Lonchura striata: one gene and its partners. The protein of the gene in region 1 binds, or shares a complex with, the protein of each later gene. Links are inferred from orthologs where the notes say so. Each region holds a gene or a part of one and is shown in the gene's direction. Other genes may lie near its edges.

Region 1 (7,524 bases):
CTGGAGGGCAGAGGTGGGGCAGGGCTGGGAAGGCCTGTTTTCCAGGAGTTCCTACCTGTCCCTCTGCCCTCCTGGTCATCATCCCCTGGCAGCTAGAGACACTCTCCTAACCCATCCATGAGCTGGTGAACAACCCAGCTCTCCACAACATCCCCCACTTGGTTGTGCCGGGGTTGCTGCTGACCTGTGGTATACACGGAGCGCCCACTCAAGGAGAAGGAAGAGTCCCTGTTTGTCCAGGTCCTCCCGCAGGATCTCCTGGAGGTGGCTGGTGAGGGCCTGGTGGTAGGTGGCAGTGCAGAGGCTGAGGATGTTGTAGTGGGCTGGGACACACTGGACCATCAGGTCCTTCACCACACGCAGCTCAGACACGATGTCCTTTTGCAGCGCTGCCAGGTGCTTGGCCAGCCCTGGCCCCTCAGCATCCATGCGGGGAGCATGGAAACGGGCTCCTGTGATGGTGTCCTGGAGGACCTGGTAGAACTTCTGCCTCCAGCCCTTTGGGCGGCCAGGGGGAAGGAAGGTGGCCTCCAAGAGCAGAGTATCATCTATTTTCTCCTCCCGCTCGATGATCCTCACAGCAGTGACAAAGAGAACGGGGTCCTCGCGCACCAGCTGCAGGCTGCTGCCCACAATGTCCCACAGCTGCTTGGCCAGGCTCTCGTTGAGGTCCTGCAGGCCACTGAAGTAGGACAGCACAGTTGCCTGGGCATCGGAGAGCCCGCGGAGGTGCAGCTGGGAGAGGATGTCATCCCGGAGTTGCTCTACCATCATGAGTTCCACGTGGGCCTCCAAGAGATGCTGCCCATGGAGCAGCTGCAGGATATGGGAAAAAACCTCGTGGACTGTGGGAGAGGGAGGAGAGATGCCAGCACTGAGTGTGGAGATGAAGGGGTTTGCACCAGGGACATAGATGCAGGTTATCAAGGAGATGGTGAGGGGAAAGGTCTGGGGCTCTGGGAACACCATTGGATCAGGCCCTGGGGAAGCAGGGATATCTCCATTCACCCAGCTGGCAAAGCCTGAATGACCTGCTTTACCACCAGCCCTGCACAGAGCCTGTGGTTGCACTGAGGTTTCCCCCAGTGCTTTTCAGCCCAAATTGACCAGGATTGGGCCAGTGCCTTACCCGAGAAGATCTGGGGCAGCACCTGGACCACCGAGGCCAGCTGCACATGTTCCTCCATCAGCTTCCTCATCTGCTGGAGGCCCTGGAAGTTGTCTGCGCTGTCAAGCAGGGCCCACCGTGCAGCCCCCAGGTCCTGGCACACGCCCTGCACCTCCTGGGCCGCCGACCGCAGCTGCTCCAGCCCTGCACTTACCCCCTCCAGGTAGGACTGGACAGTTGACTGGGGAGCAGAAAAGGATGGAGGGCAGTGGAGCAGCTCCAGAAGGCAGGAGGACTCCACACCACTTGTCCCAGCCCTGTACAATATGTGTTGCAGGCACTCTCCCAGCCCCACAAGGCCCATGGTAAACAGCAAGCAGATGCCTCTCTCAGTTTTAAAAGATTACTTTGCTTCTGCAAAAGAGCAGTGGGTCATAGGGTCCCTATGTGCCCCCAAGGTATGAAGGACCTCAGTGGCCATATAAACCCTCCTCCCAAATGGAGTGCCATCGTTTCCAGCCCTGCACTGGCACATCTCCGTGCCCTATCCACTCATTTAACTCCCTGCTCCTGATGCCAAGAATCACCAGGAAAAGTTGCTTTCACGGAGGCCTCCCAGACAATTCATCCAGAGTCAGGATAGGAGAAACCATTTCTAAAATTATTAGGAGAAAGTTGTGGTGCTCAGACTGATTCCTTGGGTCATGCAAAAGAGGATGTGGGTGAGGAGGCAAGTGTGCAGGGGGACTGGGACAACCCTTACAAATGTGGAGAGATGGAGTTTTCCCTGTGGAGATGCACAGGCAGGGACAGGTTGGAGCTCTGTGCTTCCTCCCAGCTGTGGGGCAGGGCAGCCTTTGGGGCTGGGACGGGGCAGTGATGGGGTGCACTGAGTCCTGCACATGGAATGTGCTGAGCCCCCTTGGTGTTTTATTTTGCCGCATTGTCAGAGACACAGAAGACTCCTTTTAAAACTTCAGACACTGCCTGGGGGTAAGGCAGAGGGTGAAGGGGGTCTTCTCTCCCCAACAATTACACTTCACCCACCAAACGCCAGCCAAAGGAAAAGATTTTGTCAAAAGAGGACATACAGAGAATTGATGGCGCAAGAGGGGACCTGGCTGGGGTCCCTGCCTGAAGAGGGGGTGTGGCTGCAAGTGTCCGCGGGATGGGCAAACACACACCTTCAGCCGGGACTGGATGGAGTTGTTCCTCTGCGTCTCTCGCCTCCGGTAATGCCCGAGCCCCTCCAGTTTCTCGGGGCGGTAAAACACCCCTGAAGCCCATTTCAGAGCAGCTCCTCTCGCCAGCTTCTCAGCCTTCTCCGCTTCCGGCCACTCCTCGTCTGGGGACGAAGCCAGGGGTCAGTGAGCACAACCAAGTGGGGCAGGAAGGGCCCCTGAGGCCAGAGGCAGGAAGCTCGCCGCTAGTGGACTTCCAAGCACACACCGACGTGGGAAGCTGGGCAGCGTGTCCCCAAGAGGGTCCTTCCACAAGGGCCCCCTAAGATGCCACCACCACGGCCCGGGGTTGTCATAGCAGCTGTGGCAGCAAGAAATAAAGCTGTCCTGGGGTGCTGTGACTCAGCCTGCCAGCTCAGATTGTCCCCAGGCTGAGTGTACATCCCGGCTACTCCCCAAAACAAAATGCTGGGTTGTCTGAGGGGGTTTGATGCCACTTGGGCAGCTGTCAGCAGGGTTGAGACTCCAGCAGTGAGTCAGCAGGAGGGATGGGGACACAGCAGTTCTCGCAGGAAGGAGAGCCAGGCTAAAGTGAGGATTGGAGACTCCTGGTCTCCCCAAAGCACCCATGCAGCTGTGTCCCCCTTGACACAGGGTCCAAAGCCATGCCAAAGAGCTCCTGGCCACAGTGGAGGTCTGAGAACCAGCACAGTTATCACACACCATTCCCAGTCCCCTCATGCCTGGTTTCATCATTCCCCCACGCCACCCCATCCCCAGCCACTCCCTGCAGCTCCGCGGGGCTATCACCCCGTGCCAAGCCAGGCTCCTGCTCTGCTGGGGAGCCGCTGGCAGCCTTGGGACCAGGGGATTAGGGAGGAGGACAGCAGCTTTGAGGATAAGATGAGCGGTGAGCAGAACTGCCCCCGCGCAGGTATCGCCATCAGGAAGCACAGCCAGGCTGCCACCCCGCAAGGACAACAAAGCACCAGCCACGGCACAGGGAAAAGATCCAGGAGGGTGGAGGGGGTGGTGAGGCAAAGAGCAGGGGAATCCCCAAAACGTGCTGCAAAGCAGCAGCATCCCTTCCCTGCCCAGCTCGCCGGCTCCCGGGGAGCATCATGCGCGTTACCTCTGGGGCTGGCGGCGCGCTCGTCCTCCGCAGACATGCCCATGGTGTCCAGGCTGCGCGGAGCTGCGGGGCCAGGGCAGGGCTGCGGAGGAAGCCGGCTGCCGTTTCCTCAGCCGGAGCAGCCGCGCTCCTCAGGGCCTCATTGTGTTCCCGCAGCCGCGCTCAGGACGTCAGGAACGGGGGGCGGAGGGGAGGGGGGACACGGGAAGGCACGGCGACAGCCGGAGGTCTGGGGAATACAAGTCACGGAATCAAAGGATCGTTTAGATCGGAAAAGCCCTCTAAAATCATCGAGTACCAACCGGTAACTGCCAAGCCCACCACTAAACCATATCCTAAGTGATACATCCACACGGCTTTTTAACGTGTCCGGGGATGGTGACTTCACCACTGCCCCAGGCAACATTTTACAGTGCCTGACCATCCTTTAATGAAGAAATTTCCCCTAATATCCAATCTAGCCCTCTCCTGACTCAACTTGAGGCCATTTCCTCTCGTCCTGTCCACCCACACCGGCACCCCCTGTTCTCCGGACACTCAGCCCTGTCCGTGCCCGCAGCACTGTTCTCTCGCACCCACCCTGGCTCGGGGAGGCCAGCGGGGTCCCAGACCCCAGCCCATCCACAGTGCGAGCCCACTCGAGGGTGGATCACCATGAAGGGTGTGCTGTGCCAGCCTGACCCGGAGGCGAGAACGCGGGGATGCACCCTCCATGGCTGCAGATGGACCTGCAGATGTGTCCCTGCCACAGGCTGCCTTCCCCGGGCACAGGCTGGAGGATTCCCCCGGCGCTGGGTGTGCTGGAGCAGCAAACCGGCCCTGACACCCGGGCGGTGAGAGCCGAGTACACGGCTGAGGTTTGGCTTCGCTACCACAGGGTGGGGCTTGACTTTGGCACCGCAGAACGGCGAGGGGATGGACGCACCCCTGGCTTTGCCCGGGGGACCCCCAAACCGACGGGGCTGACGGAACACCGGCAGCAGAGCGGAACGGCTCCGGAGCCCCGGGAGGCGGCGGCGGGGAGTCCCCGGTCCCCGCCCCGCCGCCGTCCCCGCCCCGGAGGTTCCCGGGGAGCCCCGCGGCCCGGAAGCGGATGCGCGGCCCCGGAGCCGGCGGCGGCGGCGGGCAGATGGCGGAGTGCGGGGCGCAGCCCGCCGGCGGTGGCAGCGGGGCTGCGGGCGCGCCCAGCCGGCACGAGAAGAGCCTGGGGCTGCTGACCACCAAGTTCGTGTCGCTGCTGCAGGAGGCCAAGGACGGCGTGCTCGACCTCAAGCTGGTGCGGGGGCAGCCGGGGGGGTGGAGGGCTCCGCCGCCCCGGGGGAGGGCTCGGAGGGAGCGGCCGCCGGGAGAGCGATGCTCCGGCGGGACCGGTCATCCGGCGGCTGGAGCAGGTCTGCAGGGGGAGAACGGGGGCATGGCAGCGCCCGGTGCAGCAGGTGGTTTAGTTTGGATTCCAGGAAAAATTTCTTCACGGCAAGAGTGCTGAGGCACTGGTGGAATGGGCTGCCCAGGGCAGCGGTGGAGGCACTGTCCCCGCTCAAAAGGTTTGTGGGTGCGGTGCTTAGGAACATGGTTCAGTGGTGGGGTTTAGGGGCTGGGATCGATGAGCCGTGAGGGCTTTTCCAGCCGTACTGATGCTGTTTCTAGGCGAGCGGAAAGCGGGGTTCTGGGGCTGCGGCAGGGCTGCCGGCCGTACACAGAGGGCTCTGCATTGGCCGACCTTACACCCCCGCCTGCTCCTCCTTCCCAGCCCTTGTCCCCACCCCGTCGGGTTGTCCCGGCGACTCTTCTTTCGCCAGGACTTGACCATGCATTGGAGGTGTATGTGTGCTTCAGTTGCAGAAACGTTTGACCACCTTCTTCTCTTATGCGTTCTTGCCCCGTACTTGATCACTGGCACCAAAGCCTCAGACATCTACAGAAACACATACCTATAGAAACTGTCCATACAGCACTTAACCCTCCTGGCACACACCAGGATGGGGAGGGTGGTCAGAGTCACCTGCCAGAGGTTGTCCCCATGCCTTTAGGCAGTGGAGAAGTGTTGTGTGAAATCATCTTGCTTCTGCATTTTAAGATCTTCACCTAGAGGAAGTAACACTGTCAATGTATAGTATTTAATCTCTGGCCTTTCCTGTAGGGGAAGTTCCTTTGCTGTGGTTTATATAAGCATCTCTTATGTGGGCACGTGTGTGAGACAGACAAGTGCCAGAAAGCCCCAGTAATGGACTGGAGGAGTTTCCTGGCTCCATGCCTGTGCCAAATTGTTTTCTCATTTGATTTGACAATATTTTTCTTCTTCAAATGTCCATTAAGGGAATTCGTGTTAGTCAGTGTGATTTATGTAGTTGTATGGTGTAGGATCTCCGAGGTCCTGGCCTGTCACTGGTAGGTGACAGAGACATAGTTCCTGTGCTGACCTGCTGTGTCTGCACTGCCACTGACATTGTTGGTCCTTCTGTGCACACATTAACTCTTGCTGGTGCCAGGTTGCCGTGTGGTAGTGGAAACAGTGCCATTCCTTGAGTCCTGAAACCTGAGGGAAAAGGGTTATTTGAGCAAGGCAGGGAAGCCCCAGGCATGCTCATGGTTACTCTCCACCTGGAGTCATGTCATTCAAACAGAGGAATCTCTTGAAAAGATATTGATTCTTTATCAAGTAGTGTCAGATCAGCTTTAGAAAAGACCTTGTGAATGTTGATTTCACTGAAGTGTTGCACAGACAGCTCTCAGCATTCCCCTTCCCATCTCCATCTCTACCCCGAGGGAGCACTAAATTTTTAGGCTGCTGAACTACTATATTCTAGCACTGCTTTGCTACTGGAGAATGGTGATTTTTGTATCCACTGTGAGTAGGAGTGCTGGAATTTGATTTGGGTTTAGTGGGGAGGCTATGGGGTAAGAAAAAAAGAAGAATGAGTGACTTCTTCTCATGGTCATGTGAGATCAAGAAGATGGCTGTGTAACGTGAAACGCTGGAATGGGAGAGGTATGAAACAGGGAGCAAAGTATTTGGCCAGGAGTTAATCTGCCAGGCAGGAAGGAGCTAAACATGACTGAGAGTTTGGAATTAAGTATCTTAACCTTTTTCAGGCTGCAGATACCTTGGCTGTGCGACAGAAGCGACGGATCTACGATATCACGAATGTCCTGGAAGGCATCGGGTTGATTGAGAAGAAGTCCAAGAACAGTATCCAGTGGAAGTGAGTGGTAGAGATGGTCTAAATCATTCACAGGTCCCTTCTAATGCAGATTTAAGTGACAGTGGGATTAAAATGCTGTGTGCAGAGGGAGGTTCCTGAGTGGTCCATGCTCTTGCCTCCCCCAGCTGTGCTGTGCTGATGGCACAGTGAGGAAAGCTGAAGTTCGTATGGTGTCTCTCTTACAGCAAAGGTGTTATTTTGGTACAAACTAAATATTTGCACTGCCTTGGTCTAGGAAAGATACCTGTCATGGCACTGGAGGTGGGGGAGACTGTGGGAAGTAGAAAGGTGTACCAAACATTGCTATGGTGGGAAGTGGGGGTCTAGAGTGGGTACAGACACAGCTTTCCAGGCAATCTGGCATTGGTGTTTGACACGGGTGGGAATAAGAGGCTGGCAGAGAGATTGATGTTGGTCTGGGTGCCTCCAGAGGCCGATATATCTCACCCATTTTTGTTTTACCCAGGGGGGTGGGTCCTGGCTGCAACACACGTGAAATAGCTCACAAACTGATTGAGCTGAAGGCAGACATTGAGGACTTGGAGCAGCGGGAGCAGGAGCTGGAGCAGCAGAAGATGTGGGTTCAGCAGAGCATCAAAAATGTTACAGAAGACATGCAGAACAGTCGATATCCTTTGTGTGAACTGATGGCTCTGTCTCCGTGTTCACTTGCTGGGCTGGGAAGCAGAGACATGACAGCTTGGTGGGTGCTGGCCTGTTGCTGCTGGAGAAGCTGCACTGAAAGGATCAAAAGGCAGCACCTTGGTTTGAAATTAGGGTAACTGTCCAGCCTGGAGACCTGCTTTTCTCTGCATCCAGCTTCTCCTCTGGCTTTTGGAAGTAAAAACATAGTAATGTTTACCACAGTGAGAAAAGTGGTTTTTTCTGAGTCACAGGTGC
Region 2 (7,962 bases), on another chromosome or scaffold:
TGGATTTCATTATGTTCCTCTCTGTCCAAGTCTTACTGAATTGTAGCACAATCTCTTGATGTATTAGCCATGCCTCCCAGCTTTGAATCATCCACAGACTTGCTGAGGATGCACTCTGTCCCTTCATTCAGATCATTTAACAGGTTCAGCAGGACTAGACCCAGTACTGACCCCTTGGAGAGCACTCCTGGCTGCAGGCCTCCAACCAGACTCTGCTCCAGATCACAACCCTCAGTTTCCCTCTTATGACAACTTTAGTCTAAAACCCTCCTCACCATCCAGACAAGCCTATGGACAAAGATCTCTTTCCTTTCTCTATCAGATGGATCCCCCAGTGCCACACAGACCAGGTTTCTGAAGCAAGTCCCATGGTCTGAGCACACAAGCCCCAAGCAAAGGGAGTAGATGGGGCTGCCTTAGCATCTTTCCTGCTGTGATGGGTGTTTCCTCTTTGTCTGCAGAGCAGTGAAGCAGTTTGGCAAGGGCACCTCAGCCTTCGGGAGAAGTCTCTTCCTCCTGCCAGTCCTTGCCATTGCAAGCCTCCATGCTTCAGCATTATTTCCCCTGTCCCTTCTGGGTGTGCTGGTGGGGGAGTTTTTGGCTGTGAACTGTTGAGTCTCCTGCAGCCTGTGCTTGGAACCAGCAATCCAACTCTTTCCTACTACCTGCTGCAGGAGATCCAACATCTGGGTACACCTTTTGCAGACAGGTCTGCTACCTGTCCCTACCTTGGCAGAAAGGTCTAGGCACTGGCACTTGAGGGCTGGGCATTTCAAATTGCTTAATCTCAAAGTATTAAGGTCCCAAAAAATTTGATTTCTTCAGCTCAGCAGCCTTCAGGAGTTTACATAGTTGCTAGGATAGGAGAGAGCAGATAAGCAGAAGCTGAAAAATTTGAAAAGCAACTAAAATGTAATTGACAGCATCTCATACTTCTCACTTAAATCCTCAAGGATCCATTCTGTATTTCCCCTTTTTCCTCCTGCTCTTGACTTTGTTCTAATGAATAGACTTAGGAACGAAATATATTGTGTTTTTAAACCTTTGCTAGTTAAGGTTAAAATATGCCAATTTTATGAATGCAACCATGTAATGTGGGATTTTTGAGTTTAAAAATATGAGCCATAGCCTGCTTGCAGTCCTCTGCTGCACCCTGATTGGAAAGAGAAGAGATGGTGTTGGCACATTTTTGTCTCAGCTGTGGAAAATCCAAATGTCGCCCCTTTTGTACTGACTAAATGTTGATCCTGCATTCTTTTATATTCATTTTCATTAGAGTCCACTGTACTTGCAGTGAACAATTACTTGTTAGGTTGTTCACTCTTACTTTTCTGCTATTCATCTGACTCAGATTTTCAGCTTCACTCTGCCCTTTTTTGGGGGCAGGCTTCACTGTTCTTCTTTATACTTCTTTTTTAAAGGTTTTTGCATAGTTTTAGCTCGGAAGTTGAAAATATTTGCTCTCGTTGGCTCTTAAGGGTGCTACTTTTAAGTGTATCTGTCCCAGCTTTAAAGAACTACTAACAGATACTGCTGTATCTGGCAATGTTACTTAGTTTCGCTTAGCATTTTCTTACTGGTCCCAAGACAATCCCTGCTGCTTCAGGGGTACCTTAGATGTGTTGCATTTATGAGGCTTTTGATTTTGGGTAGTGTGGGTTTGTGTTGTACTTCAAGAGGTGTTCATATAAAAGCTGTTACTGATTTGGTTTCCTTATTTTCTGGTGAAAGTGACACTTGGGAATTTGGTTAAAAAATGAGCATTGCCAGTGATTTGAGGCAGGTTTGGTCAGTGTTCCTAGATGTGTTGGGTTATTCCAGAGTGTTCCCATGGCTGAGCACCAGCAGTCCAGCAGCCACAAATGATGATGAGTGCCTTGGCTCTCTGCTCTGTTGCTGTGGCCTTGCTAACATGCATCACCTTCTCAGGTGGTCTCAGCAGTGGTAAAGCTGGTCTCAGTAGCCTTGTTTCTGTATAATCTGAATTTATAAATGTGTGTTTTGCTTGCCTGCAATACATAGTCCTACTGGTAGCTTTGTAACCTGTCACCCTACTCTAACTGCTCATGGTTGCAGGCAGGAAGGTTGGCTATTCTTAGTGAAATAGAGACATTTCTTCATGTAATAAAATGCAGTTATTGTAAAATACAGGATATTTTTATGTCTTGCATTTGTTTACTTCTTTGTAGATCACTGTGCTTAATTATATTGATATTTTATTTTCCTGTTTAGTGTGGTTGTTCTGGTAATTTATCAACAAAGGTGTTGATATGATTGATCTCAATACTTTTAATGGAGTTTCTTAGAGATTTTGCAGTGACATGCTAGATGGAGAGAAAAGATCAAAATTCACAGATACCTGTCAGACACCATTCTGTATTTTTGCCTATAATCCTGATCTTCTTTATCCTCTTCCTTACAAATCCTCTTTATCCTTTACACCATCATATATATATTTTTCTTCCTGAATATCAAGAATAGGAATCTGTTTTGTGAGTAAGATGAATACAGGTGGTTTGCTCAAGCTGAGAGTTTGTTCCTCTCCTTCTCGTTACCATGCCTAGCATTTTTCTAAGTTGTTGGTCCAGGACTTTGCTGACAATATGCTTTAGTCTAACTTTTTTTTTTTTTTTAATGTGTTTGGCTGGTTGGGTGTTCTGAGCTAGCTGTGTTTACAAATCTTCATTATATGATTTTTTTTTGTGAACTTTTATTTAATTGTGTGGCCATTGTTTTTGTAGGCTAAAATTGTGTTTAGTAATCTGAACCTAGGATATTTGCTGAGTTTCCTAGTCCGAAGCTTAAGCTTAAACACTTCCTTGGTCTAGATTGTTTTTTTTTCCTTCAAGGTTTGAGTAAACACAAAGTGATTAATCTTTTCAAGGGGTTGTAGTTAGCACTTATGCATTATTCAGTACTCAAAACATAGGTGCTAAGTGAAGGAAACTTTGAAGGGTTTAAATAGTTAAAACTATTTGCTACCCTTTCTTGACGATCTCAAGGCTGTTAGGCTCTTAAGAGGTTGGCATGCTTTTACTGTTGCTAATCGCTTTAGTAGTGGAGCTGGAAAAATGGAAACTGTATAAAAGCATTAGTAAAAAACAAACAGCTGAACTGTTGAGAAATTCTGGCTAGATACCAAGAAGTAAAAATCTGCAGGGATGTTGAAGATGCCTTTGACAGCAGCCTCTGGTGTAGCCAGGATGAAATTTTCATGGTTGGCTTTCATGTATCTATTCCAGTCATGTCCAACCTGCAGTGAAGAAATGGACCAAGTGGGTTGTGTTACAGTTCTTGTTTGCTGTTGTTGAGCACACTAGCCTGAATGCAATAATGAAAGCTAAGTTTAAAATTACCTGATAACTTCAAATCTTCCTATGTGATTGGCATATGTTGTTAATCCAGTAACTATGAGTAATGTTTCTTTCTTTTTCACTTCTCAGTTTCTGATTCCAGAGTAGATGTGATATTTCTTTTTCTTCTGCATTCTGATTTGCAGTGGTTAGTTTGGACTCAAAATGCTGTTTAAAAGCCTGACTCCATGTATTTTAATATAAACATGCTTTCAACTAGATATAGGTATTTAATAAGTACTTACTGCTTTGTAACATAACCAAATGGCAAGGATAAAGAATGCAAATACCTGATGAACTATAAAACTACTTAGATATATTTAAGTATTTTATGATCATACTGTTAAAAGATGCTAAGAATGGCCTTTCTTCTTGGGAAAAACATGTACAAACGGAATACAAAGCAAGTTATTTAAAACTATTTATAATTACAGAGTGAGGTGGGTTTCCCCCTGTCCAATTTAGATTATTCTCTCCTTTTCAAACTTGGAGGCAATTATTACATGGATTGTGCTTGACACTAGGAGTCTAACTTCTGGATCCAAGGCCTATGGGCATATCAGTATAGAACGAGATGATGCTTTGGTTTGAGGTTTATTTTTTTTGTGTCTGAAATAGTTTGAAGTTTTGCTATCTGAGCTGCAAGCCTTTTCAAGTAGCTGAGGTGACAGTCAAGTGACACAGCTCAGAAGAAGGCCTAGTGACCTTAACGTATGCTGTATTCAAAAACAGTCTACTTTGGAGTAATCATCTATGCAGTTAACCTATTTGACTTTAAGGCAGCAATATGATAGTACTACTAATGTGTCTCTTGGAGCTGGCTGTTTTGTCTAGGGCTGCTTACCAGGGCTGGCATCACTGTGCAGGCATTACTGGGGGAGAAATGCTTTCCATAGGAGGTATTTTTGGCAGTGACATCAGATAACTTTGTATCTTTAAATGCCTGCCAATAAGGGAGCTGGGAGTTTGACTGTCAGTGCAGTCCTTTTGGAGCTCAGGCTTCTTGAGTGTCAGGGCAGTTTGGTCTGGCTGGCACTCTGAGGTGAGGGGGGTCAGAGTGGCACCCTTGGCAATCAGGGAGGCCAGGACTGTTCCAGCATAGTCTCTGGAGCTCGGTGTGGAAACTGTGTAATTCTAGCAGGGCTTTTTTCCCCAATCCTTCCACCTTGTGGGTGAAATGCAGCTGTTTGGTAGTTAGCTGCTGTACAAAACGGGCCCACAATGACTCCAGAGGAAATAATGTCACTTGGGCATTTGGTTGGTGTCTTCACTGGCATGGTTCCTCATGAATTAGTATTAAAACTCAGCTCTGCTTTTCCTAGCAAGTAGGAAACAGAATTTGCAAGGGTTTTGTCCCCTTGAGCTTATAATTAGTACTCAGGAGCATGTAGGCAGACCCACATGGTGTGCTCACCCGTCCCGGGCCCAAGTGTGCTCATGGGGTCAGCAAGTGCAGAAAATGCCTTATTAAGCTGATCTGTTTTCAGACTCTTGACACTGATACAACCTTAAGGGAATGGTACAGTTCCACCATTTCCAGCAATGTCTTTAGGTTTTCTCAAGTGGAAGTGGCTCTGGCTTTGAATCTCGCTGCAGGTGTTTGTTTAATATATAATTTGGGTGATCTTAAAAAAAAATCCCTTTTTTTTCATACAGTGTGTTATTTGTTTTGTTTTTAGAACACCTTTAAAATGAATAATGAATTTGTGTGTTATAAATTTTCTGGTGAGTATTGAAGTAAAAAAATTACTGAGCTCTTTTCATAGCTGGCATCAAGGGATTATCTCTTCATCTTGTGAGTGGCAGGGCTTTGGATTGATCCTGTGGTAGGTGGCTGTTGATTGAGCTTTTGGGGTTGTTCAAGTCCATCACTAAATAGTCATTTGATTTTATCAGAGATTTCCAAAATGAAAATTTGGTGATAATGCTACATCTGGTATGGATAATAAATCTCTTGAGTAAGATAACCTGCTAATCAGTGTTGGCATGTATAAGAAAACATCATCATCTATTTGATTTTTTAAAAGCTGTTTATCTCTTGCTTTATATTTCAGTGGGTTTAAATGTCTGTGCCTATATTTTCAGGGGGGAAGCACTGCTTCTTGGTGTACTGTGGTGTAAAGAGTGGAGTGGTAATGCCTTTATTTTACTTCAGCAAATGATGTTGTAAAGGTTTGATATAAATTATTACCAAGACTCAATTCAGCCTAGTAGGTTATATTTTGTTAACAGTTTTTTTTCCCATGATATCCCTCCTGTGCATGCACAATACTTTCAGTCTGAAAAAAATTGACTGTATTTTCTTCTTTGGTAATTTTATTCATAAAGCTTTGAAAATATGTGTTTTCTGGAAGCCAATAACTTTTTAAAATATTGCAGTACCTGCTCCGGCCATCACTGCCACAGCTACTAAGATGGAGGTGGTTTCAGCAGAAGTGAACAGCTTGCTCCCTGAGGAAATCATGGACACTGGCATAACTCTGGTGGAAGATGACAGCATTGAGGCTGTTATTGTGTCTTCGCCAATGGGAGAGTCTATTCCCATGGAAACAGAACTGGAAGAAATAGTGAACATAAACTCCACCAGCGACTCCTCAGCCACGACTACAGCCACAGTCACCACGGAATCGGTCCCTGTGCCCAGCAGCCACTCAGGAGATACAGCACTGACCACCACAGCCCCAAGCCCTGATGTGAATGCAGCTGTAAAGCCTGCCTTCCCAGGTGGCCTCCATAAACTTGGTGCTCAGACCCCTGTCACTATCTCAGCTAATCAGATTATTCTGAACAAGGCCACTGATATTAAAATAGGCAGTCAGAGTATTAAACCAGATGGGCAAAAGCTGATTGTAACAACTTTGGGCAAGTCTGGCCAGCCCATTGTTTTAGCACTACCCCACAGCCAGCTCCCGCAGTCGCAGAAGGCCGTGTCCCAAGCCCAGGGTGGAGAGTCCAAGGTACAAGGCCAGCAGATCAAAGTTGTCATTGGAGGTCGGTCGGAAGTGAAACCTGTTGTGGGTGTCTCAGCTTTGACGCAGGGAAGTCAGCTGATAAACACTGCGGCCCAGCCCTCTGTCTTGCAGTCCCAGCAAGTAAAAACAGTACAGGTAAAATGAGTTATGCTGATGAAACTTCCTAAAACCAGTTCTGTTGCTGCAATTGTTGTCTGTTTCCTGCACTGATTGACACACTGTTGCTTTCAGCCTTTGCATTTGTTCTTTGTATTAAAAAATACAATGCTGCTCTTAGCCCATGCTTTCATCTGTTGATGCGTTTGCCATTTTATGCTGTTTGCCTCTAGCTACTGTCTAGAAACTTAGGGTTTGCCTCAGAGAAAGTGAACTATTCAGTAAATTGAAGATAATTTTATCATTATTTTCATTTATAAAAATAAATTCTACATACTCTCAGGAAGACTGAATTCAACTTTATATGCCTGTTGTTGTTTACTCAAAGTATACCCTCCTTTATGGAAGAGTACCTTCTGCCTATTACGTTCAGTTTGTTTAAATAAACTCTCTGAAAAAACTTCTAGCATCTGTAAAAAAACAGAAGGGTGTATCTGGTCTGCTTCAAATCTAGTTATCATAAGCTGAACATTCAAGGTTTGGTTCCTAATCTCTGGCATGGATCTTGAGATATTTGAAACCACAGAGAATCTGCTTGGATCTGAAAATGTGTTGAAAAGACTTGGGTTATGACTCAAAGAGTCTGATTCTCATCTGTTATGTGGCAGAACTAAATGTGAGTGACTTTGTTCTATTGGTAGTGAGGCAGAAATGAGACTTCTTAAAGTGAAAGACAATTAGAACTCAATGCAGATTATGATGGGAAAATATTTATTTTACTGCCTAAATGAAATGTGAAATTAAACTCTTAAGTATGCTATTAAAAATAATCAGCTGCACATAAAAATGACAAAGTTTAAAGAATTTTATTAGCCAAATGTTCCTTGATTAGTATTTCATGGCAGGTGAATAAGATCAATATTTTCTCTAAAGTTGCAGATGATTTCTACTGCACTAATTTCATTCTCCTTTTTTGTTGCTACATCATATCTGGAAACATTTAGTAATGGCCATTTGAAACATAGATGGTTGTCAGTATAGTTTTCAAGAAAGTCTCTGCACTTTAGTCATCATAGGAACATTTAAGAGTGGATCAGTTCCTGTTGCTTGACTTCATTATTCACTGCCAAGTGACAGATACAGGAAACTGAGGGAACGACTTAGCTGTGTTGTGGTTTTTCCTTGCATGAGATGATTTGTGCTGTCAGTGACTGCAATCAGTGGCTTGGCCATTGACCTCTGCAATCTGCCATTGGAAATTCTACACATTCCTTACTAATGAACTTGCATCCATTTATTAAAAATTGCAAAGTGGGTAAATTGCAGTTTGGGTAAATTTGTCTTCTTGTGGTTTCTTTTTGTTAAGCCATTGGTTCCCTTTGCAAAACAGACTGAATTGTTAGCACTTGACACTGCTTTTTTCCCAGGAGGAGGGAGTAGAAACAAGACAAGGTCAGCACCCAATATTGCAGGGGAAATGTTTACATTAGCACTTCATAGACAGTGCTCTTCCCTGTAGAAAATTTCTGAAGTATCAGAGT
Region 3 (7,769 bases), on another chromosome or scaffold:
ATCATGTACCCTGAGTTGGAGCATCTCCTCTAGCTGTGTTCAGCCTCCATCTCATTTACTTGTCAGCCTTAGCTTAACCTGCCATTTTCCTTGTTCTTCTGTTATATTCTGCCCTTCAACCTTTGCTACATCTTGGCAATTTTCTTTTCTCCGGGTATCTTTCCAATTCTCCTTAACCTTCTTTAATGTGAGTCCTTAAATGAAGCACAGAAGGAAGTGTGTCTGCTGATTTCTAGTAATATGCCAGGCTGTAGTGCCAAGACTCCAATAATAGTAAGTCCTTCAAAAAGATTCCCTCCATTCCTCCTTCTGCTGTAAGGTAAGATTCTGCAGTTACAGGATATGTGAAACAACTACTTTGCTTTAACACCTGTATTCAGCTTGGGATTTTCTTCTGTCATCACAAAGTCACTGCTAAAGAAAATGCTCATTAGCAAGAAGGTTCTTTCTCCAAGGCCAAGCGGAAGGACTTTAACTCTGGTATTCTGGGCAGAAGTTTGTGCCTCAGTCACTGTTATTCTGCATTTTGTTCTCACTGAGGGGGTTTAGTTCCATCAACATCTGCCTGGGTATAATGTCCCCCTATTGCCCTTTTGTTGAAGGCTCCTTAACTTAGGTTCTCTTGATAGCCTGGAGGTTTTGCTGGGCTGAGCAGGCAGTGTTGCAGTGCTCCCAGAGCTCTAACAGGAGTTGAACCTGATTCTGTTCAAATCACTCTGCAACTCTGCACCATCTGCCTGATACTCCACCTGTAGTGGTGGTAGTTTTCACCCTAGCAATGGTACAGCTAGAGACAGAAAAGATAGCCAAGACATTATATAGTCCTCTTGCCCCAAGTGGTATCCTAGAGGACACACTCTGGATAACCATTTTACCATTGTCACTGTTTATTTGAAGCTGGAATTTTAGCTGATTTCCTTTCACTAGCCTCAAATCTATGGCAGAGAAACTTCACTACAAGTAAGGATGAGAAAAGGCCTTAGTGTATTTACCAGCGGAACCTTTCAAATGGCCTGCAGAGTTGCGAGTTCTCTTGTGGAGAGGTTCAAAGTAGGGAATAAGGCTCTGAAACAGAAGGGTGCCTGAAAATCTCCCAGGATGGACCAACCTTTGGAGATCAGAGCATGTGCCACAGCTTGTGACATGAAGTTGCCCAAAGACTGAGCAGACAAACTGACATTTTGAAGAAATTTGATTACTGATCAACACCTCTTTTGCTTATGTTTTACAAGAAAATTTGATTTTATCTTCCCAGGAAATCCTTAATGTGATGTTATCTGAAAGTGGTACCTGATAATTGATTTGAAATTAGCTTTAGATACATTTTTACAGGTGCTGTGCATCTCAATTTTTGCTGCACAGAAGGGCATTAAAACCATTTTGGAACCTCACTCATACTAACTTTTATTTAAAATATGACAGCTTTTGCTGCTTTTTGCTTGTATTTAATTTTTTTGTCTCTTTTTTGTCTTTTTCTCTTGGAAAGTATATGCAATTTTACATTTTTTATCAACTGAGTTTGATAGTAAAGGTAACAATACAAAATTACAGATATTAACTAGGTTGCAGTTCTGTAATTTTAAGATACTCAGTTGAAATTTAATGTTGTACTTGGGATTGGACAGCAGTGCAGCTCATTGGCATGTGAAGATTGGCAATACAGTTGAGATGTGTTAATGATCTCTGGGCATTCTGCCTTCACAGATCCCACCGTGCTGATAGTAGATAATGTCATATCAGTTTGGCAGTTGTACAATTCATAACATATAGTCCTAGTAAATATGTGGGGACTATGGCATGAAAAATGATGCCTCATAATAATCCCTCTATTGTTGGAGGAATCTTGCTACTATTGTTGTATATCAAGAGAAAGGGCAGATGAAAGTCTTCAGATAGTTGAAAATATTGAGCAGCTGTATTAATTTGGTTACATAGCTAAAAAAAAGATCAAGTCAGATGTGTTAAAAAACTTACTGTAATAACCAAGTTTTGAGTAGTCTTCTTTTAAGCAGTATTTTCTGCTCTACTCTAACAGCTAATTTTATGTAAAATTAATTTAGTTGCTCTCATTTGTTTTTAACAAGAGTGTTTAGACTTGCTTTCCTGTCAGGAGAAAGTAAAAAAAGCAAAATACCGAGTTGCTGAAAGCTTGCTACCTTCTACTGGCATAATCTCTGTAGCAAGGTCCTTCAACTAGTCCCACTATTTCCAGGATCAGGGCACAGCACAAAAGGCTCACCAGTTGAAGAGAAAGAGGGAAGAACCCTTTCCTGCTAGTCAATGGGATTGTGTTATTTTCTGAGCTAAAGAGTGCAAAGAAGTGAGCCCCTCTGGAAACAAAGAGGTGTGACAGTCCTGCAGGTGAGTTGGGAATATGGCAGTGCTCTGCCCCAGAAGTTGGGAGTGTGTTAGTTTAAGGCTTTATGGGGAGTCAGGGCAGGTTGAGGAGGAGAAAAGGGGTGGTGGTGAGGGGGAAGCTGTTTTGGGTTAATGTTCATGCAGGTTATCACAGCAAGGGCTGTGGACTGGCAGGAAAGCAGTAAAACTAGCAGATACTGAGAAGTGATGTATTATGAAAGGGGAAAGAGGTGGCATCTAGGAGGGATCTGACTTGATCTGACTGGCCAGGGGGAGCAAGGTGGTGTTCTGAGGCTGGGACACCGATGGGTGATGGAGGGACACACGAGAGCTTCCTGCAGGGCAGGTGTAGCTGCTCAACCCACCTTAGCATGTCTCAAAAACCCTATTCTAAGGGTTTTTCTTTTTTCAGTGCAGCCTTCATTCTGGGGTAAAATTTGGGATTTGTTAAAGTTCTGAAGGACTGTGTATTGTTTTAGAATGTTACATAAGTAGCATACTTACACTCAAGCAAGTTGGTCATTGTTTCACCACCTTCAAACTTAATAGTGTCTTTGTGTATACATATATGTCTAGATGTGTGTATATAGACTCTCTCCTTGGGGGTTAAAATGGCTATTTTTCATGTTGATACTCAGTTCCAGTATCTCACTTCAGCTCATCAGTGTTTCTTGCAAAAAAAGTAAATAAACCAACGAACCAAAAAGAGATCTATGAAGCCAAAGTGTCTTTATTAAGGCTGGGTTCAAGTATTTCTTTAGCTGTGGTAACTAATAATAGTGCAGTAAACTAGCCAACCTGGTTGCTTCTAGTTTGCTTCCTTTTGAAGGTAGCGTGTGCCTTCTGCACTTCTGTCAGGGCGTGTGTCATATTAGTGGTTGTGGTCGTACCTGTTAGAGGGGACTCCAATTCTATTGCTTTTGTGAATGTATCTTGCATAACACTGACAATATTGATAAAAGTTTTTGTTACATGTTATGGAAGTGTTTTTTACAGGATGAAAATAAACTAAAACCACAATCTGCAAATTCCTAGGCACATGCAAGATTTTCGGTTGTAAACTGCCCCATTGAAATAAATATAAAGGTCTTGTTTGCTAATATTGCTAATATTCCTTAGACTGATATTTAGGAACTCCACTTTATAGGCTGAACACTTGGTTTTTTGGTGTTACTTCCCTTTTTAGTGAAGGGTACAGGATCAAAAATATGTCTTTCTAGAGTATTTAATGTTTGTAATGCAAGAAAAACAGAAGCTTACCATGTATGTTTTGCAGGAATCTAAAGCACATAATAGTGTTTGTGTCCCCATAAACCTTGTTCTGCTCAGCTTGCTCAGTGGCATTAAGCTGCGTTTGTGTTAGAGAAATATGCAAAATGGGTAACTGCACGCCTTGGATGTGTGCCTGGCTGCACTCGAGAAAGACTTAACAAATGTTGCATCGTTGTGCTGAATGGAACTAGTGCCGAATTTATTTTTTTTGCTCCCAGGAGTGCTTTCTATTTATATGGTCTCTGTAAGAATATGTAACCCTGCTTCGTTGAAACAGTTTTTTTACAGCGTTAAGGATGTTGAAATCAAGCACTTAAGGCTTTTCCAAGGCGCCGAGCTGGGTCCGGGTTTTTGCGGGAGCGGGTCCCGGGTCTCGCAGGGCGGAGGTGCGAGGGCGCGGTCGCTGCTCCGGGCCCCGCCGGCGCTTTGTGGGCCCGGGAGCCTTTGTTCGCAGGGGGAGCGCGGGGCTGGGCACGGTGCACCGGCCCTGGCCTCCGTGTGCCGCCGGCTCCGCGCCGAGGCCGGACGTTCCTGCGGCGCCCGCGGCGGGGCTGAACTTTGCATCCCGGGACGCAGCCCCACCGGCTCCTCGCAGATAAGCGGCACGGCCGGCGGCCGCAGCCAGCGCGGCGCCGCGCGCTGTGTGTAAATACAGGCCTATAAATATGTATGGGTTTGTGTATTTATACGCTCCGTACCGCCCGCAGCACCTGGGCGCCGCTGGGACAGGTGCGGCCGCCCGGAGCCGTCGCGGGGATCGAACCCGCGCCCTGACAGCGGCCGGCGCGCGCCGCGGGGGAGAGGCGGCGGCCGCGGGTCCCGGTCGGTCCCGGCCGGCCACGCCCTTCCGCCCCGCCCCCCCGGCCCCGCTCCCGCGGATTGGCGGGCGGTGTGTGTACACACACGGGTTCGGGCCAATGACGCGGGGAGGGCGCCTGACGTCACGCGGCGCGGCGGCCAATGGGCGCTCCCGGCCGGCAGACGCCGCCAAGCTTGTGCGGGGGAGCAGGACCGGGCAGCGCTGGGCGCGGGGCGGGCGCGGGGGGGCGGCGGGGCCGGGCCGGGCCGGGGGCGCTGCGGGCGCTGCCGCCGCCACGCACCGGGGCCGCCGAGGGTCCCGGCTCCGGGGCCTCCTCGCCAGCGGCGAGTGCGCGGCGCCGGCCCGGCCGAGAGGCGTCGTCGGCGCGACTCGATCGCTCCTTGCCGCGGCGGCTGCCAAGGGACCGTCGCCGTCTCGTCGCCTCAGCGTTGCTGTCTGGGCCCAGCCCGCGCTGCCGCCCGCCTTACCTTTCGTCCCTGGCCGGTCCTGCGGGTGAGCGGGGGGCGGGGGCGGGTGTGGGGGGCTGTGGGGGGAAGGACAGCCCCTTTCCTCAGCCATCAGCGGCCGCCGCCCCCCGTGCCCCGGGCAGCGCGGTCCCGCCGGCCCTGCCGCCCCCTCCCCGGTGCCCCGGGCAGCGCGGTCTCCCCCGCCGCGTCCCCCCGGTGCCTCAGGCCGGGCGGGCGCCCCGGCAGCGTGGGAGCCGGGGCCCGACACCTGCGGGCGGGCCCGGGCGGCGGTGACAGCCGGGGCGCCTCCTCCATTGTGGGGAGCGCGGCGGGGCCGGGCCGCGCGGGGCTGTGCGGGCTGCGGGGCGAGCGGCGGCCCGGCCCGGAGCGGCGAGGCTCCGGCCGAGCTCCCGGCCCTGCTCCGTGCCGCCCGGACTTCTTGTCGGGGCGGTTCTCACCCGCGGGTCCTACCGGGAGAGGGTCAGTCCGGCACAACAACAACAAAACTTCCCTGCCTGCCTCTTCCTGGGAGTTACAGGCCTGCCCGGGCTTCCAGCGGTACAGGGCTCAGCGGCAGAGGTGAACCCAGTGTAAACACCGTCTGTTGGAGCTGAGAATACAAACAATAGGAGGAAAATACGGAATAAGCAAACTTCCTTGAAATGTGGAAGAAAACCGCAAATGAGAGCGTTCTCTCTCACTGAGTAAAGGTTTCTCCTCTGAAGAAAGGGTTGAAATGAAATGAAACTTTGGGTTTCATTTTCTCTGTAATTTCTCTGTAAATTCTTGATTTGACAGAGAAAATGAATAGTTTTAATTGATATACTGTAGTATGCTGGGTAAACATTTTTTACAAATTATTTCTTGGTCGGTTTTCATAATTCTGAAAGCAGTTCAATTATTTTTTTGACTCTTCATTAATATGGCTCACAGTGACTTTTTTTTCAACTACTATCACTGATGTAGCTTAATTATGTTGACAAAAGATAGTAAAATGTTGGAGGTTGTGTGGTGCTGTAACAAATTGCAACTTGGTACAATCTTTGATTCAAAAATAACATGCTGGTAAAAATGGATGCTGTTAAAAAAGAAATAAATTCCATTTTCTCTATTCCTTTACCCTTCCCAAATTAACTTCAGTTCTTTTGATTATACATACACAAAAAATACACAAAAAGGGATCTTTATAAGTGTGGCAAAGACTGAGAGGACCAATGTTACAGGGCAAATGCAGAACTGTGTTTCACAGCCCATATGTATGCCAATGCTGTGTGTACTCACTGGTGTTTTTTACTCTGTGAAGTATTGAATTTCAGGAACTTCTGTTCAAACTAACGTGTAGGGTGTTAAATATAGCACTTTGAAAAAACCATGGAGGACTAAGAAGAAATTTGTGTTATAGAAAAGTCTTGGTGGGAGAGGTGGTCAAAAGGAAAAAAAAGTCAAGTTTTCTTTTGAAAAGTTTCTTACTGTGAAGTGAGTCTAGTGCCTTTAGAAGAGGACAGAGTAACAGGTCAAATTATTTACTTCTATCCTAGGGGGAAAAAAAAGAAAATTATTAAATATTAATAAGATTGCCTCATGGGTAAATTTAAGAGTGATCTTATATTACTGTCAAATTGTTTGGCTTTTAACCACTTCCTCTTTGAACAAAAATCAGTACTGCAGCAAAGCAAAAAGAAACCATTTGACTTGTACTATCTTAATAGAATTAATTTTATGGAAAACACACCAGTAAAAGGAATGCTTTGATTGCTGCAGAGGGTTCTGACTGGTGGCCTTTACAAAGTGGGAAGGTACAGTTTTCAGAACAGCATCTTGGCAGCAGCTCTCCCGTGTAAAACGCACAGGCCAAGCAGCCCAGCTGGGCAGCAGCAGTGCTGTTCTGCAGGAGATGTCAGTAACACAAGAGAATTCCTTACCTCTGTCTACTCTTGTCCATGTTGGACAGCACTGTAGAGACCTCTGGTGCATCTGGACACACTTCCTGAGTAGTTGTGAGCACCCTCCCAGTGAGGATCTTTCAGTAGCTTTGGCTAAAATTGTTACAGGTTTAGTGAAGAAACAGGGACCAAAATTCCAGCATTACATCCTCTTCAAGGGTGTATGATGTTACTTGGTTTAGATGTGCAGACCTTGTCACTGTGCCTTTGAAAGCTGAATGTGACTCTCTAAATGCAATATAGAGTAGTGACTTGCATGGTATGGGGGGGAAGCAGCCCATCCTATGTAGAGAGAAATATTTGAATTTCTGCATCCTAATGTGGAACAGAATGAGTTCTAGTTATAGCCAGTCTAATTCAGTTCTTAGAATTGCATTTCTTATGGTGTGCTACCTTAAAATAATGTTCTTAGGGCTGTCTCTAATAAGGGATAATTTCTTAAATTGTTTGCTTTTTCATTTCTTGAGTGTAATGGTATAAGACTTTCTCCACTATCTTTTCAGTTAGATTCACCATACATGACTCTTAATGAACCAACAGTGAATCTTAAAATAGGGAAAATCAGCTGTCTGTTCTGCTGCAAGGAAATACATCTGCATATTCTTTTGTGCATAAAGCTAAGAAACCACTGGAATCGGTTTGTCACAAAACTTTAGGTATTAGGTGAAAAACAATCCCAGTGTCTTGGTGTAGTAATAGTGCCACATACCATGGTGGAGCTGAGGGCACAAATGCCTGTGCTGGGATCTGAGAAACCAGGGATATGCAAGGAAATATTGTAAAAGGTGCACACGTGGTAGAGAGTGAGAATTTTCTAACAGCTTCCTGGATTGATTCTTCATGTATGTTTTGTAACATCCAGTATTAGAATGAAATTAATTCTCTTTTCCCCCATTATTTGATTTGTAGACTATGACTCTTCTGCAAAGA
Region 4 (7,991 bases), on another chromosome or scaffold:
ACTTGTGGAAAAAGCTCTAACAACTTGGAAGTGATTTAAAAATTATCTAAGAAAACTCTTCAGCTTAGAGCTACAATTGATACTTTTCTTTGAGTAGAGGGCTATAAAGGGATCAACATATACAGAGCAATCAGTTGCTCAGGAGACCTCATCCCTTCCTGTGGGTTCTCAAACCCCCTTTTTTAACAGGAGGAGCCAGCAGCTTACGGAGGCCTCGGAAAACATCTCCCTCAGCATCAGCCAGGGTCTTTCCTTGCTCAAAGGTGATGAGTTTGGAAATTTCTTTCTGAAAATGGAAAACACAAAGTTTATGAATGTTAGAAAAGTGCCTGCCCATGAAAAAGACAGAATTAACATAGAGTTGAACATCACAATGAATAGACTGAACACAACCCAGAAAAACCTATACTGACTGATTTGCTCCTTATAAACAAGAAGCCAATAACCCACCTAGGTGACATTTTAGAAAAAATCGTCATCGGATGGTTTGTATTCTAATGGTTTCAGGTATGACACCACATACAGACCAAAAAATCCATCAGGAAAATCCAAAAACATAGTAACATACTTGTCTTCATCAACTGACACATGTTCCATCAAGGCTCAAAGTTCCTTCTGTGGTCTCTTCGTAAAGGAACAAATTCAGAGCAATATTCCCTAAGAAGCGCTGCCTCTGTTACCATTTGATGAGAGAAGTGCTTTGCTGCACCTCTCGACAGTGTCTCAGTTGATTTCTCAATCATGGCAGCACCTCATCAAGAACACTGTAAACCCCAAGTCTCTCTCAATTTAGTTTCTGAAATCAGCTGCAATGCATTCAGCCATAGACATCACACACAGCCATGGGATCTCACCAGATTGTCTTTGATGAGCTGTTGATAGCGCAGGAAAATTTGCTGGCGACTCAAAACAGATGTTTCTGACCAGTTCCAAAAAGCCTTTTTGCAAGAAGCCACAGCTGCCTCCATCTCACTGGCTGTGGCTTTCGGTACACGGCCAACCACCTCATTTGTGGCCTGAAAGAGAAAACAAATTGCATCAAAACTCAGCTTTTCCTATGTGTTCCCACCAACCATTCAAGAGTTCTTTCACAGCACACACCTAATATTCTTGTTCTACAAGTTGTACTTCTGAGGGCACAGCACAAAGGAAATGCCTTCCTTGATTGCACACAAAAGGCCTGGGCTACAACTGGAGTAGTTCTGAAAACCTGCATTCCAAATATATCAAGCTAAGCACTCAGAAAACTACAAATGCAGTGCTGATTTCCAAGCTGGAGTTGAAGTGACTTGGCTATCTTGAAACTTCTAGACAGTATAAGGAAAAATTTTCCATGGACTATGGTCTTTTCCTCTCCATCGTCTTGGTTCATCTGGCTGTCCCTCTTGCACATTAAATGAGGCAATATTCCTTTGTGAAAAGCAGTACATGACTGCACATTTGCCATTGATATTAGCTTACCTATACCCCTAGGCCAAAGTACTATTTATATACAACCTTAATTCTATTGTATTTTAACTTCAAGCTTGGTGCCAGTTTAACCTCCTTCTAATGTTATCTTAAGAATTAAATCTGCTTTGACATGACAAAAATTTCAGATATATCAGTAAGACAGAAATTACTCAAAACAAGAGGAAGAAAATTAAACAAGAGCACTGCTTGCTACATAGACCAAATGAGCTTCATGAACATTACTTGCTGCTCTGATCATTTGCACAAAGCAAATGAAAATAGAGCTGTACAGAAAAGATTTAGAAACTGCTGTTTTAAAGGCTTACTAGGAAGGCCAGAGGATCAGAATTCTGAGTGCAACCTCATTTCCATTTGTCTTTGGTGGAGTACATAGACAACACAAGTGCTACTTATCTATTTTGCACTGCATAGCATCTAGCTCTGTGATTATTGTGCGTCAACAGATAGAAACTCTCTGAAAGGAGAGGAGCTTCAGCTGTTAGCATTTTTCACCTTTTTACTCTGAGAGTAATATCAGCCTCTATCAGGATTTCACATTCAGCTGGGATCAAATCACACCCAGTTGATTTCATATACAGAGTGAAAGACACCCTTCAGAAATCTGACATACAAAAAAATACATAACCAAAATTTAAGCTTCCTTTCTGGAGACCAGGGCCTTACTATGTGAGGGAGGTAAGGGTGATAGTAACTTATTCTGAAACTGATATTTCATGTGAAAAGGAAACTGAGAAGCTGTAGTCTGCTGAGTCTAAACCTTTCTCAAGAAATGTATGTTTTTCATCTGCCACATCCCTGAAGAGGCATAGACCTTTGTTTCACAGTGATCACTATTTACATAAGGTGAGAGCATTTCACTTACTGGGTTGTGGATATCAATCCATTCAGTAGTTTTGGACTCAATAAACTTCCCATCAATGAAGAGTTTGGTTGTTGGCTGTGGAGGTCAAAACACTGAAAAGTGAGTTATTTTTGTCTCAACATGCCTAAATGCCAATGTGCCATATTACATGCAAGCCTTTATCATTTACTGCTATGTGAACCACTAAAGTCTGTATCCAGTCTTCACAGCAAGACCCAGATAATTGCTCTCTGCCCCATTTTGCTCTCTTTACACCTAAATAGCCAAAATTCTTTCTAAAAGCAGTTATAGAAAAAAATACATTGCTCTGCTTATGTTTGGGATTGTTTCAATCTATTTAATCAAAACCTGAAAAACTGCAACTCATAAATGTTCAGAAGAAACAGTTAATAATTCACTTCATGGGAATTCTGTGAACCCAGTGCAGACTGTACCACTGTCCCATGTGCCTCCTTCCCATCAAGCCACTAAGCAGGTTCATCTTTCCAGTTTATAGCTTCAAGCAGAAAATTGGACTTTCCCCACCCCCTGCTTGGTCTTGCAACTAAGAGTAAGAAACCTGTATCTGTGGACTGTCCTGGCTGGCAGCACAGAAAACAAAACTTTCCCACTCAGATGAAGAGGAGGGACAAGGAAAGTTTGGAATAAGGAGTTCAGGCAAACATAGAACAGAACAGAAGGCAGAGGTAAAAGCTGTAATTAGCATTAGATAGGCAACAAAACTATACCATGCAGGAAAACAAATTGTGACTGTATAAATTAAGAAACTATAAAAGAGGAGTTGACATTGGGAGGTAAGGAGAGAATTAGAAGAAAGCAAGAACCAGTTAATCATGACACAAATCCATGACTTGGGGAGAACATGTAAGAGAAAGGGGAAATGGATCTTCTGTATGAATAACACAAATGGGACAGATCAACAGAACCAGGATATAAACCCAAATATATCATGAAAATGAAGAAATTATGATATGGAATTATGAAAGGGAGATGAGAACTTGGATGATATCCAAAGTGTAATGAAGAGACAGAGATCAGAGTAAGAATCAGGAACATAAATGGTACAGGGTGGACAAGTGATGACAGTGAAAAGTGGATGAAAGTGAAAAAAAATTAACAGCAATGTTAGTTGGACAAACTGAGAAAGCTTTGAGATGAGAAAGTTAGGATCAGAAGTATAAAATAAGTCTGTTAATGGACAAGCAAAACTTAATGATTTGGAAAGCAATGCTAGAAGAGAATTAAAATTAAAATGTTGCAGATGATTATGTAGCTGGACTCACACTTGGGGAAGAGAGGCAGAAATCTGTGCCTACAAAAACACAATCTCCTCTAGAACCTGGAAGAAAGCACAGGATATCCGAGTCCCTTGACCGAGTTTCCTGACTGTGAGAAAAGCTGCTGGTCTAAAGAATGACAAACTCCTATGGCTATCAATCACTCCATTAGCCTCAGTGCCACCGAGGCTAATGCAGTACAACCACAAGCGCCAATGCTTTATGACCCACATAGACTTCAGTGCAATGGAGTTAATGTCTTTTTCAAATTGATTAAAAAGGGTATCTCAAACATTGCACACGCAACAAAAAATACTTTAAGCAAGCCAGAAAATGGTGAATTAAAATTAATTGCACCTTTCCCATAACATCGCCACCTTTTTTTATGTAGAGAATGCACCTGCTGTGGGAACATGGACGGTAGTAAAGCAGACTACTTGTGGAATTCTGGTTTGGAGTTCAGAGAGTGTGCAGCCATGGACAGCAGAGGAAAAAAGGCAGTACAAGAACCAAAGTTGTTTGATACTGTCCGAAAGAAACCAGATCCTCTCTCTGTCGCAAATAGATGCATGAGGCCAGTCCAGAGCCACCAGGAGTACCGCGGGGTGAGGGCGGCCACCGCTCAGCTCCGCAGTCCGACAAATCGGACATGGAACTTTTTCCCGTCCCTCCCGTGGAGCGCGGGCGCAGAGCCGATGTTTGTTCCACCGGACCCGCCGGGGTCCAGCCGAGCCGGCGGGAACGGCCTCAGCGGAGCGGAGCCGAGGGCAGTGTCCGGCGGGCGGCGGCGCCCGGGGCTCTCCCGCGCCTCCCTCCCCGCCCACCGGCTCCGCTCCGCGGGACGGGCACTCACCACCGAGGAAGAGAAGGACGCGGCGACTGAGGTGGTCCAGGGGGCACCGGCTGTCCGCGGCAGCTGGACGGGGGCAAGCACAGACCACCTCAGGGCGGGTCAGGCAGCACCTCCCCCCGACCCCCCTCCGGCTGCTCCCGCCCGGAACCGACCCCCGCGGGGCCCCGGGGTCAGGTGAGCCTCGACCCCCCTGCGCCCCCCGAGCCGCCGGAGCCGCCCGGGGCCGGCCGGCCGCCTCACCCTGAGCGCCACGCGGCGCCGCCCGCCCCACGCTCCCCGCGCCGCCGCCGCCGCCGCCATCCCGGCCGAGGGTCCCCGCTCCGAGGCCCCCGGCCGCGCCCCCGCCCCGGCCCCGCCCCCGCGCGGCCAATCGCCGCCAGCAGCCGCTCTGGCCGCGCCCCCACGGCCCCCGCCCCCCGTGCCGGGCCGCGGATTGGCGGAGGGGGCCGAGCCGCCCTCCGAGCGTCACGGCCCGGCCCGGCCCGGCCCGGCCCCGCCCTGCGGCGGCCGCGAGCGCGGCGCGTGGGGCTGGGGGCGGGGCCTGCTTTCCGCTCCCGCGCGGCTCGGCCGCGGGCGCGGTCACGTGAGGCGCGCGCCATGGCGGCTCCGGCGGACGGTGAGGCGGGAGGGCCGGGCGGCACCGCCGCTCCCGCGCCGCTCCCCGCCCGCACTGCCCTCACCCCCTCTCTGTTGCAGGCGCCGACCTGGAGACCTCGCTGCTGAGCTTCGAGAAGCTGGACCGCGCCTCCCCGGACCTGTGGCCCGAGCAGCGTAAGTGCGGCGGGCCCGCGGCCCCGAGTCTGACAGCTCGGGGTGGGGTGGGGAGAGCCCGGCCGGGCCGAGCCGGGCCGGGCCTCCTTGGGGCAGCTGCACGGGCCGGGCCGGGCCGGGCCTCCTTGGGGCAGCTGCACGGGCCGGGGCGGGTGGCGGTGCCGCCCGCAGGAGCGCTCACCCCGTGCCAACCTCCGCTTTCTCTCCCCAGTGCCCGGGGTTGCCGAGTTCGCCGCCTCCTTCAAAAGCGTGAGTGAGCGCTGCTTTGCCTTTCCCTTTCGCGTTTCTTCCTTCCGTGTAATAGTAGATCGGCAGGTTCTCTTGCGCGCTTTACATCTTCTATGAACCGTATCTCAGCAATAAGTCCAATATATGCTACAATATAGCTTTTGGTTTTAATGTATCTTTTATATATGTGTTTCTTTTTATGCCTTCTGTAGTTCACTGTGTATGAGAATTATACTTTGAAAGCAGTAAAGGCTTTTAAACGTCAGAAAATCCTATTTTTCATACTGATTTTTTGGCTTGTGAATGGTGGCATGCCGTTTTTAACTCTAAAGTGTCCAGGAAAAAGCAAGATTAAACATAAAGGTATTTCTATGGCACACACTCTCGCATTTTTGCTGTTGTTGTAACTAGTTTTCAATACAGATCGTACTTCATTGTATAATTCTAAGAATGGACTTTTCTGAATATGAACTTCTATTTTTTTCAAAATAGCCCATTACAAGTTCTCCCCCCAAGTGGATGGCTGAATTAGAAAATGATGATATTGATATGTTGAAGGGTGAGTATGAATATTGTGGGCAAGAATTAAGGTTGCCAAAGCAGATGGGAATTCAGTAGTTACTAAGAGGCTTAAAACACTTGTTCTTTAAATGTTTTGGTGGTGGCCTTATGGCCTGAGATCTCTAGCCATCATATTTGCAGAATCTCCAACTCATAAGTCTCTTCATCTTGTTAATGATAGACATTTTCATTAAACCAGTTATTTCCAAGAGCCTATCCAGATATCAGTGGCAGGCTGATTTTTCAAGATAAGCAATGTAACATTGTGTATATTTCAGTCACCTCCCATAGCCTTTTTATCACCATATAAGTATAGTGAGCATCTCCTGCATTTTGAGAAGTAGCATTAATTTTTTGGAGGGGCTCAGCTGATCAGTTGGTGAGTAGCTTAGACTTGTTGATTGACTTGTTCAGAGATGCTCTACGTGTGTGTGTTCCCTCACAGATCCAGGAGCTCCAATGCAACGGTGAGGCTGTACAGGCAAGTTACAGCAGGATTAGCTAGCATGTACACTTTCTTCATGGTGCAGCTGTTAGTTTGCAGTCAATATCCTTCAGCGTGCTCTTCCTGTCATGAATTCTGAATGATGGTGTGTGATCGTGTCACAGTGACATGTCACAGCTACAGAGTGAAAGTGAGACAATTTAACTCTGACTCACTCCAAGAAATGTGCTTGAACTCACGTTATTAATGCAAAATAAGTCCATTCCCTTGCTACTTTTATATAGCTTGTTCATGTTGCAGTGTGAACTTAGAGGAACTTCTAAAGTATAGGTCAAATTACTCTTTGCAATGGTGGCAGATCAAATCACGAACTAGAGTCATGGCTGCCTTTCTCCGTACTTTAAAATTAGGAGTGGAGTCAGCTTGAATTTTGAATGTACGCTGTTCACTGAAACAGATCCTGACAGAATTAAGGCTTGAAAGTGCTCTGTGAAGTACTAAACAGGTGAACTGCTATTGGAGGACTATAGAGAGGGTTAAAATTCGTCTTTTTCTCTCTTTTTAAGAGCTGGGGAGCCTTACTACAGCTAATCTGATGGAAAAAGTTCGTGGCCTGCAGAACCTGGCTTATCAACTGGGACTGGATGAATGTAAGTGCTGTACACAGATATGACTGACTGCATTCCAAATCTTTCCACTAAAGCATGTGCCTGTACATTGGTAGCTGGAAAAGTGTGTTGACAGATTTGGCAAGTGTTTTACAGTGACCTCCTGCAACAGGATGAGAGAATGAACTTACATCTCCAACTTACAGCCTACCTGCATGGGGGAAGATGTGTGTCTGGTGTTACCCAGTGGCACAGAGACTTCTGTTCCTGAGTTAACATTGTGTTACATAAATCAGGTCACTTTGCTTAATTTCCCACTCAAATTCTAAAGGTATTTCTCAAAATAATTGTGGCAGTACTTCTCTCAAATTTCATGCACTGCCTCCACAGGGAAATTTGTGTATAGGATTCTCCTGTCACTTTGGTATTCATACTGCTTTCTGCTTCTGTAGCTGTTACTTTTTTTACACTCAGTTGTGGTGGGCAGTGATGTCATTGAGTAATAAAGATGACTTTCATCCCAGTTGCAAACAGCCAACTCTTTCTGTGTTTTTTTGAAAAAAGAGCTCCTTTCATTGTCTCATTTAGGACTCCTGTTAACAGGTTGATATAGCTTTGAGGATATCAAGAATATTGTGGAGTTGGTTTTAATACTACCCATACATACCAACACATTTTTTTTTCTGTTTAGACCCTGGTTGTAATTACTCTTGGGCTACATGAAGCACCAAAAGTTTCAAGTCTTTCACCTTGCTTTTAGTGGGTACTACAACTTAGTAATAAACCTTTAGAGTCTTTCTGACTGCAGACATAGGATAGCCTAATGCATTCTTAATAACAAATCATTAAGCTTGTTTTAACCTACTTTGAGTTTATTTTACTTTCAGTGCTAATATCTGTTAAGACTGTGTGA

Evidence for each region.
Region 2: E2F4 (region 1) and LIN54 share a complex: the UniProt entries of both Homo sapiens proteins name them as parts of the DREAM complex. The link is inferred for Lonchura striata from reciprocal best matches to the Homo sapiens genes E2F4 and LIN54.
Region 3: E2F4 (region 1) and TFDP2 share a complex: the UniProt entries of both Homo sapiens proteins name them as parts of the DRTF1/E2F transcription factor complex. The link is inferred for Lonchura striata from reciprocal best matches to the Homo sapiens genes E2F4 and TFDP2.
Region 4: E2F4 (region 1) and LIN52 share a complex: the UniProt entries of both Homo sapiens proteins name them as parts of the DREAM complex. The link is inferred for Lonchura striata from reciprocal best matches to the Homo sapiens genes E2F4 and LIN52.

The regions. Positions count from the first base shown.
Region 1 is NC_134615.1:16,854,956-16,862,479, reverse strand, and holds the start of E2F4 (transcription factor E2F4), read left to right. Parts: upstream 1-4,514; coding exon 4,515-4,697; intron 4,698-6,514; coding exon 6,515-6,624; intron 6,625-7,090; coding exon 7,091-7,254; intron 7,255-7,524. Other genes in the region: EXOC3L1 (exocyst complex component 3-like protein), read right to left, coding at 185-845, 1,130-1,349, 2,293-2,453, 3,422-3,464. UniProt on the Homo sapiens protein: Transcription activator that binds DNA cooperatively with DP proteins through the E2 recognition site, 5'-TTTC[CG]CGC-3' found in the promoter region of a number of genes whose products are involved in cell cycle regulation or in DNA replication.
Region 2 is NC_134606.1:60,954,834-60,962,795, reverse strand, and holds the start of LIN54 (protein lin-54 homolog), read left to right. Parts: upstream 1-4,959; 5' UTR 4,960-5,044; coding exon 5,045-5,078; intron 5,079-5,732; coding exon 5,733-6,460; intron 6,461-7,962. UniProt on the Homo sapiens protein: Component of the DREAM complex, a multiprotein complex that can both act as a transcription activator or repressor depending on the context. In G0 phase, the complex binds to more than 800 promoters and is required for repression of E2F target genes.
Region 3 is NC_134612.1:12,733,928-12,741,696, reverse strand, and holds the start of TFDP2 (transcription factor Dp-2), read left to right. Parts: upstream 1-4,766; 5' UTR 4,767-4,942; intron 4,943-7,769. UniProt on the Homo sapiens protein: Can stimulate E2F-dependent transcription.
Region 4 is NC_134608.1:23,653,967-23,661,957, reverse strand, and holds the start of LIN52 (protein lin-52 homolog), read left to right. Parts: upstream 1-4,987; 5' UTR 4,988-5,062; coding exon 5,063-5,081; intron 5,082-5,161; coding exon 5,162-5,236; intron 5,237-5,447; coding exon 5,448-5,485; intron 5,486-5,956; coding exon 5,957-6,023; intron 6,024-7,036; coding exon 7,037-7,120; intron 7,121-7,991. Other genes in the region: ALDH6A1 (methylmalonate-semialdehyde/malonate-semialdehyde dehydrogenase [acylating], mitochondrial), read right to left, coding at 208-286, 855-1,016, 2,336-2,410, 4,466-4,528, 4,706-4,765.